Drosophila melanogaster: one gene and its partner. The protein of the gene in region 1 interacts with the protein of each later gene in a pairwise test. Each region holds a gene or a part of one and is shown on either strand. Other genes may lie near its edges.

Region 1 (3,629 bases):
ACGATGGCGTAACAGATCGGGCGCACTTTCAGCTGGAACTGCAGGATGTGCCCACGCGATTGGTGAGCTTCAATCTGCTGGTCTTCTTTGAAGCTGAACTGCAGCACAAGTGCGATCTATCGCCTCCGTCCGTGCTGGCCCATCAGTTACAGCTTCCTCTGCACGCTCGCCTCAGAAATGGACACGTTCAACTGAAGGGAGAGCTGCAGCTGAAGCAATACGTAGAGTTCACCTGTCCATTTCCGGGACGCAACATCAAGACTCAGTTCCGACAGGTTCAATTGGATACGAACTCTACCAACGGAAATATAGATCAGTTCAAGATGGAATCGCTGCTAGCGCAAGTCAAGGCCAATCCAGCATATTTCCAGCTGGCCGTGCAGGAGACATACTACAGAGAAACGTCAGCGCGCTTGCAGCCTGGTCTCATCATTGACCTGGAGCTGGACGTGCTCCAAGTTGCCGCTCGCTATCATCTTAGCATTTGGGAACGGCTTGGACAGTTCTGGCTGTACTTCGCCTCCTTCTTCGGCATCTCGTTTTACATAATGAACAAGCTGAAGGACTTTCTCTTCGGACGCCACATCGTTCGCTCCTGGGAGATCATACCGTGGAAAAAGCTCTACTGACACCAATCGGGCGCCATTTTGGAGATGGACAACTTCTCGATTGGCGAATAACTTAAAGGTGACTCTGCTTGGTTACCCAATGCAATTTCATTGTCAGTCAAATAATAAATATAACAAATGTACAGAGAATTTAAGAGGAGAGCAGAAGATCGGAAGGATCCGCCTACTTATCCCGGCTATTGGACATCAGGGCTAGGTTGCCAAAGGAAGATCCAGCGGACGCTGGCTCGGGGGTGGGGTCAAATGCACGGTTGTCCTCAAGGATGATGGTGGTGCGGGGATAGTGATCCAATTGCACGAACAGATAACGATACTCCAGTTTACCAGAGTCACTCTGTAAAAAGTGAGGATTAGAAAAATGCGGCCTGGGAGATATTCATCACACATACCCTTCTGGACTCCAGCTGCACGGTGGCCTTGTTCCTCAAGCCCTGCACATAGAACTGCATCCGCATGTGGGGCTTTCCATTGCGCTCGTAGCTCGAGTGCGCCACATGCTGTCTGCGACCGCGCCTGGATGTCTCGCCGAATCCCTTGATGGGCGCACCAATTGCATCCTGTACCCGCGGATCTTCGACCACACGTCTTAACGCGTCCGCGTATATATTGTTCGGGCTTTCGCTGGAGAATAGCTCTCGGAATATGGCAAAGAACATCACGCAGGTCACCCCTAATCCGGCGATTATAATCGCCGTATAACTGGCCGTCTTAGTGTTCTCCTTGATCTTCTCGCCAATGGGGCGCACATCCGTCGACACCTGGGTGTTATCCTGCGATCGTTGAAGGGATCCGCCACCATCTGCATGAATAATATAGTAAATATTTCAGATGTAACCTGATGAGAAGTTTGAGGCACAAACCGCGCGACGCTTCCTGTCGCAAATGTGGACTCCAGTGCATCGCCGCCGCACATTTTAACCTGGCAAAGTTGGTGGGCAACAAATTTTGCCGCTGAGTGACCAAATTGCGCAATAAAGCTAGCCGTGACATCGTTCACGACGAAATCAATGGTAAAAAACAAATAAACGTACTTTACGAAAAAAAGAATTCTAATCAGCTGTTTAGTTTTTCGATACAAATAGTGTTGCACATTTTCACCAATTAGCGGGTTATCGGGCTATTCCCGCTAAAATGGCTATAGCCAGCTAGAATGGCGTTTTTATTATTTCGATATTTACTAAAAACAAGAAATTGTTGAAAGTAAATTTTATATGTTTAGGGTACACAGATAATATTACAAATAAATCATATATATTACAAATAAATTTCGAAGTCAACGTATCTGTTCTTATTTATTTCCCTTTCATACGTTTCAAAATCTAAGCTCGTAGCTAAAAATCTATTATTTTCATTGGCTTGAAAATGGCCATGTATCAGTGCGCTCGAAAGCTGGTAACCCTGCCATCTGTGATAGTAAGCTTTTTTTACGTCAAAAAGTCAGAAAACCTGATAAATTAGGAGAAGTCCATTCCCCTCCAGAAGCCAGTTACTCCAAAGTTCGCCATCACGTCGCTTCCAACGCTTTTCGGTCGCATACTCAGACGCTACTGCGCGGTGAATACTAATCCCAGCAAGATCATGGTGGTCACACACAACGTCAAGGGATACGATGAGTTCACCAAAAAGATGGAGGAACTGGAGAACGGCGACGAGCCGGTCCACGTCCTCTTCAGTGGCGGCAAGGACGAGAAAGGAGAGAGCTGGTGCCCCTACTGCGTCAAGGGTGAGCATGCCGTGATCCCAATGCGGCTAACCGCAACCTATCCGATTCCCAAACTCATTTCTCACGTTTGCAGCGGAGCCGGTGATACACGATGCGCTGAAGAAGGCCCCGGGCAACTCGCACTTCGTGCATGTGGATGTGGGCGAGCGGGCATAGTAAGTTAATACCGCCAAACTGAAGAAAACAGCTGCGATTAGTTAGATAAGCAGGAATTAATATTTCATGCACTGCGAGACTGCGAACATCTGCTGGTTTCTTTGGTTCGAAATAGCCAAATAGTTTCAAAACACAGGCTTAGTCATTTAGAATGACGTACATATATGCATATATCCCACGTCATTCAGTTGCCAAAACCCTTTGTCATTCGATTATCAAGTTCAAAACATTTTGGCAATGTGAAACTAGTCACTCAACCCCAACTGTACGATGATGAAATAAGCACTCGAGTACTTTTTCACACGCCGAGAACATTCATGATAAAAAAAACCATTAAACAACGATAGCTTTACAATGCTCTTGAGTTGTATTCATGCCGCCTGTTATCACTGAACCGTGGTAAGCAATAAATTAACACTTGTTTTTCACTGCAGCTGGAAGGATTTGAACTGCCCCTTCCGCAAGGATCCCAACACGCATCTGATCTTCTTGCCCACTCTGTTGCGCTGGAAGCGGCCACAGCGTCTGGATGGCGAGCGCTGCTCCAATCAGGATCTCGTCGAGATGATGTTCGAGGATGAGGATTAAGTCGTATACCTTACATACATTTATTTTGGAACTTTACTCAATTTGGAATACACAGAAGACACACACACAGATTCAATTAAAGCGTCCCTCAGTAATTGCTCTTGTACTTCTTGATCTCCACCATCACGACGTGGATATTGGTCAGCTGGGCGCGGGCATTGGGCGTGAGGAGCTTGTGGAATCGGTGATAGTATTGCACCAAACTGGCCAACGCAAGCTGCAGAAGCTGTGAGCCCGTCAGCAATGAGGGAAATGAGAGAAGCACCTCCCTGTTTAGCTCCTCCAGAGATTTCTTCCAATTGGCCGAGAAGCTGGCGACCAAGGCCAGACTTCTTCGCTCCTGTTTGCGCAGCTCATCCATTTGTTCCTTCTCGAAGAAGTGCTCGCACTCCTTGACGAACTGAATAATGCCTCCGAAATGAGGGGCCAGGATCTCCTCGACATATTCCGCACTGCGGGAGTTGAGCTGCTCTCTGAATGCCTCCGCTTCTTTGGAGTTATCTCGCGTGTGCTCCATCAACACGCCCAAAACC
Region 2 (4,845 bases), on another chromosome or scaffold:
AACGTTGAACTGATATTACTAGTTACGTATTAGAACACAGATGTAATATTTTTATCGTAGAACGTTTTACATTTACAAAACCAAAGTTACTAGCTTCGGTTTTGAACTTTTGCATAAATTGCGTGCTTTTTGATGAAGAAAATGAATTCTGGTATTTCTATTTAAGTCACTCCATATTTCCAAAATGACTATATTAATAATATTTGTGATGTTTGAAATTTATATAGATTACAACTATATTTTAAGTGAATAGATTAAAGCTTAATTTAATAGGGCTAAGTACCTTGGATATAATCATTGGTTTTCTGTTTAGTTTGACCAACAATTTTATAATCTTAAGCTGACTTTGTCCAACTCTTCTGGACCGATTCAAAACGCTAACCCCGAACTAGCTTAGATGCTAACTTATTTAATTTCCGTGCTAATTTTCAGACCTGTAGCTCCATTCACTTCATATTACGTTTTATAATTTTGGCTTAACTTTTCTTTATGGCCGCCGACAGTTTTAATCAATGGCCATAAAGAGTATTTTTAAGCCAAATGATGCTAATTTTTTGGAATTGATAGCGCTAATTTTTGTCTACAAAAACCGCAAGCGACAGATGCTGGCTTATTGAGGCCCAAAAAAAAAACGTGCAACCAATATGAATGAAGCTTTTCCATGCGCGCCACTTTATTGCAGCCAATTGCGCCTTGACTTTCATTGTGCAAAATAAATTAATTTCACTTGGACCCCGTTATTGATAGCAATTTAAAAACAATTGAGAAATATTTAATATTGCCTTCAATTGAAGAACTGTAAAAGGAAGCACTACAACAAAGAATTATGATAAAACCGTTCAATTCCCAAAAATTTGGCGAGTCGGCACATGGCTTTGTCAATTAAGGCCTTTCTTAGCACGTCGATCTAGGGATAGAGATGAATGATATCGGTGGATAACAATTAGTCGCTATTAGAGTACCGTTACTAGACCTTAAGTTCAACACTAGGAATGTAAGAAATTTAGTTTCTTTCCCAATGGTTATGTGGCTATTCACATTAGTAATATTATTTAATGTTTGTATTAACTTATATATAAGTTGAGTTAGTTCCGCAGATCCGTAATAATTTTTACAAGTCTGAGATGGTCCACCCTAACGACAGATCGACGCCATACGCCCTGAGCCACTCTGAAGAGAAGAACGCCCACACAAAAAGGCAATGTTCTCTTTGGGGCAGCGACTAATGGCAACAGCTGTTCTTGTTGATAAATAGCATAAAGATTTTTGTCGCCTTGTTTTGTGAGAGAGCAACAAATGCAAGTCAGCCTCTGAAACAATCACCTGGAAGGATACGTGTGTCGGGAATGTAGATAGATAAGTTGGTCTGGATAGTGCGTGCCACGGAAAATTAGCCTTGCCTTTGTTTCACTTGCATTCCACAAAGACGCACGCACACACACACGTGCACAGAATGACCCTTACAGTGGGGCTTTGGTATTGGTATTTGTATTTGCGGGTCGAACGCCACGCTCTTTTGGAGCGAGAGTGAGAGAGCGAAGAGAGAGAGAAACATAACGGGCTAGTGTATTTATTTTAATATTAGCTTTGTGACGTTCGCTCACCAAATCAGTATTTTTCGTACCATCGGCGTTAAAACACATGTTCAGCGATTTAGTGCGGGAGTGTAAACTAATCTGAGTAACAACAACAGCATCGTCGGCAAAGCAACAACAACGGCAGCAGAAAATTTTAACACGTTGACGCTTTTTCTAGTGTTTATAGCGAGCGGAAAAGCTTACTAAGCGCGTAACAAGCGAGACCCCGAAATCTTTTTTCATCTCGGTCTTTTCGCCTTTGCGTCTTTGAGTGTGCGTGCCAAAATTCAAATACGTCATCGACGCGCGCAGCCTTAAATCGAAAAGGAATGAAATAATTGATATACACAAATGCCAGCGAAAGATTGAATTCAATTGCAGGAGCAACAAATAGCCAAACAAATTGAGGAAAACAATTCCTCCAACCGCACAGCGACAACTTCAATTAATTAACTTGTTATTGTGTAGTAGCAGTCCGCTTCTTGCCATTCACCGCGAAACGCAGCCACACAAAAGAACGTGCAAAACAGCTGGGACTCGAACTGAGAGTAACGGAACGTCGAGCAACAAGTGCAGCAGCAGCAGCAGTAGCAGCGAAAACAGCAGCAACATCAGCATCATCAACAACAATACAAAGCCCTTTCAATTGCTGGAGAGAGGGGTGGTCCATGTGTCTATGTGCACTCCAATGAATACGAAGACAACGGCCACTTTTGTTGTTGCCACAATCAATTAGAGTGATAGCAGGCGGCAGAGGAAAAGCAGCGCGGCAGCAGCATCCGCATCAATTTGCTGTCAGCATCTGAATCTTCGGGTCGGCATTATTCCGAAAAGTGTGAATGTGAGCGTAGTTGCTCCCGTTCCGCCTCCGTAATCGCAAGTGCTTGTTGTTATTGTCGCACTCGTCTGCGATCCGCGAACCGCGATCTTTGCTTGTGTTTGTAACGGCGACGTCGTCTTGATTGGAACGCTCTGTATTTCTTGACTTTTTTCGTGCTTTTTTGATTCCGAAACTGGTGTATCTGTAGTTTCCCGCTAACGGCGAAAATTCACACAACTCATTGATATTTTAACCTCGTGTCCGCGTTGGCTGCCGCTCGACCAAGGTTCTGCCGCACAAAATGCTCGTCTCTTTGGGCTTTTCGAAGCCTCGCTTCGTCGGATTAAAAGTGCTCCTCTAGCACGCTCGCAAGTTAGTCCGGCCACAAAAATAAGAAAACCCAAAACTTTAAAATATAACCATAACCCATTGAATTGGCAGAAAAAGTTTTCACCACCCACCGAATCGTACCGTTATCGTTATCGCGAAACAGAATCCACAGATAAAAAACGTTCCGTTTCACTTCGTCGTAAATACAGTGCTAAATCGTGTGAAACAAACTAAAGTCGCTGCAAAAACAGCCTAATTTGTCTAATGAAAGCCGAGAGCATTTGTGAATAATTAGCCCCGAAAAAAAACCTGTTCGCAGTCACCGCAAAAATTAGGCCCCAATAAAAAGTGACGATCCAAGAAACTGGCATCTCGCCCGCTTGATATATAACACCCCAACACAAACGTAAAGTTCGCGATAACACCTATACAAAATAAAAAAAAGAGAGAAACCAAATCCAGCGAATCAACTTCAGAGTAAAGTCGCAAAGTCAGTGCAAGCCAGAGCAAAATCGTCGAGCAAACCGAGTAGTTGTCCAAACGTTAAGTCGCAAAAAGTCTAGGAAACCACCCCTACAATCGCTATCAGATTTCTAGTGCTAATACGATCGAAATAATGTCAGCCTTCTGACAGTGTATAACAAATAAAGTTACATAATCACCGTTGCAAATCCAATTTTTTTTTGGAAGCGAACCCCCAAAAGTGCCCAATTGGAATGTCGAATATCTGACAGTGACCAAACAAACAGCGAAATCAGTCGAAACCAAACTCAAGAGAGAACCCCAACTGCAGAAGGAAAGCGAGCGAAGTTGTTATCAGTGAAAATATACACACATATATATTCGATTTCAGCGTAAACAACTACTATATAATGTCCGTCGCCATCTGACAGTGGTCCAAACAACCAGCACAAAGAGCTAGAAGTCGCCGCAGCCAGTGACAAGTTTCACCACAGCGAGTGAGACCTGTACCGTAGAACCAACACAAGACACTTAAGCTTGCAACACGGGCTAACCAATTCAGCGATAAATGGAGAAATCTGAAATACGACTGCAACGCATGTCTAATGAATATCAGTCGCAATCGAGCTATATGTACCTCCGGACCAAGATGCTGTTAAAAATCGAGAATACCCTACTTCGAAGCCATCGTCAGCGCGAGACCACCGGTATCAAGAAACTATACAATTCGTTTTTCGTATTGTTTTAATTTGCCCCCCCGGCCAGTCCCGAACCCTCTCAAAAGGCCCCAAGAACACAAAACGCACAAAAGCAAAATTTACAATTCCACTCAACTGTGAGCCAAGTTAGAAAAAGTTACAAGAAAGCAAGTTATACATGTTATACCTACGTTAAATAAATATATGAATAAACTAGAGATATTATTTGGTTGTTAGTAGAACTCACGTCAAGTGCATATGGTTAGCCCTCGTATATCCAAAGTGCTGTGCGACGAACGAACGATTAAGTAAATAAGTGTGTCATATGAGCATTTTGAACAAGCCAAGCCAAAATGTTAGCCTAAGCAAGTAATCAGTAAGTGTTGGTCGATCAATATACGGTTTCTACTTCGAATATTACTATTACCATCAATCACTTTTGTTGCATTTCGCATTGCACCAAAAAACTTGAGCAAAATTGCTGGCGAAATTACTCCGGTCGGAAGTGGTGTTTCGTAATACGGGTGAGAGCGATCACGGTCAAATAATTCAGGAGGATATCAAACAACAAACAACAATAAGCTTGGACTAATAGAGACCAGAACGCGATTCTAACGCCGTTAACTCACGTACCGAATGGCGCTTTCGTTTCTATCCCAAAACTCCGGTCTGTTGGATTTACAAAGCATATTCGATCCACAATATACTCATCATCAACAACAACAACAACAACTACTACATTTGAGCCACCACCCTCAACATCACATTCAACAACACCAAAATCAACAACTACAACAACAAGCGGAGCAAATTCAACAACATCAACAAGAACGCACCCTTTCAACAAAGTTCGATTTGAACCTGTTCAACGAACTCGACCAAATGGAATTCAACAATTTAAATCGCAGTCAATATCAGAATAATAATAATAACAACAGTATCAGCAATAATCAAAACT

Evidence for each region.
Region 2: the proteins of CG7382 (region 1) and gem interact in a two-hybrid assay, tested with the Drosophila melanogaster proteins (one large-scale study listed by BioGRID).

What each region holds. Positions count from the first base shown.
Region 1 is NT_033779.5:5,518,194-5,521,822, forward strand, and holds CG7382 (uncharacterized protein), read right to left. Parts: upstream 1,704-3,629; 5' UTR 1,620-1,703; coding exon 1,490-1,619; intron 1,429-1,489; coding exon 1,019-1,428; intron 964-1,018; coding exon 793-963; 3' UTR 700-792; downstream 1-699. Other genes in the region: CG14020 (uncharacterized protein), read left to right, coding at 1-629; cl (clot), read left to right, coding at 2,208-2,352, 2,426-2,507, 2,943-3,096; Vps52 (vacuolar protein sorting 52), read right to left, coding at 3,185-3,629.
Region 2 is NT_033778.4:10,122,683-10,127,527, forward strand, and holds the start of gem (gemini), read left to right. Parts: upstream 1-1,610; 5' UTR 1,611-3,757; coding exon of another isoform or gene 3,758-3,937; 5' UTR 3,938-4,523; coding exon 4,524-4,845. Other genes in the region: CG46319 (uncharacterized protein), read left to right, coding at 3,758-3,937.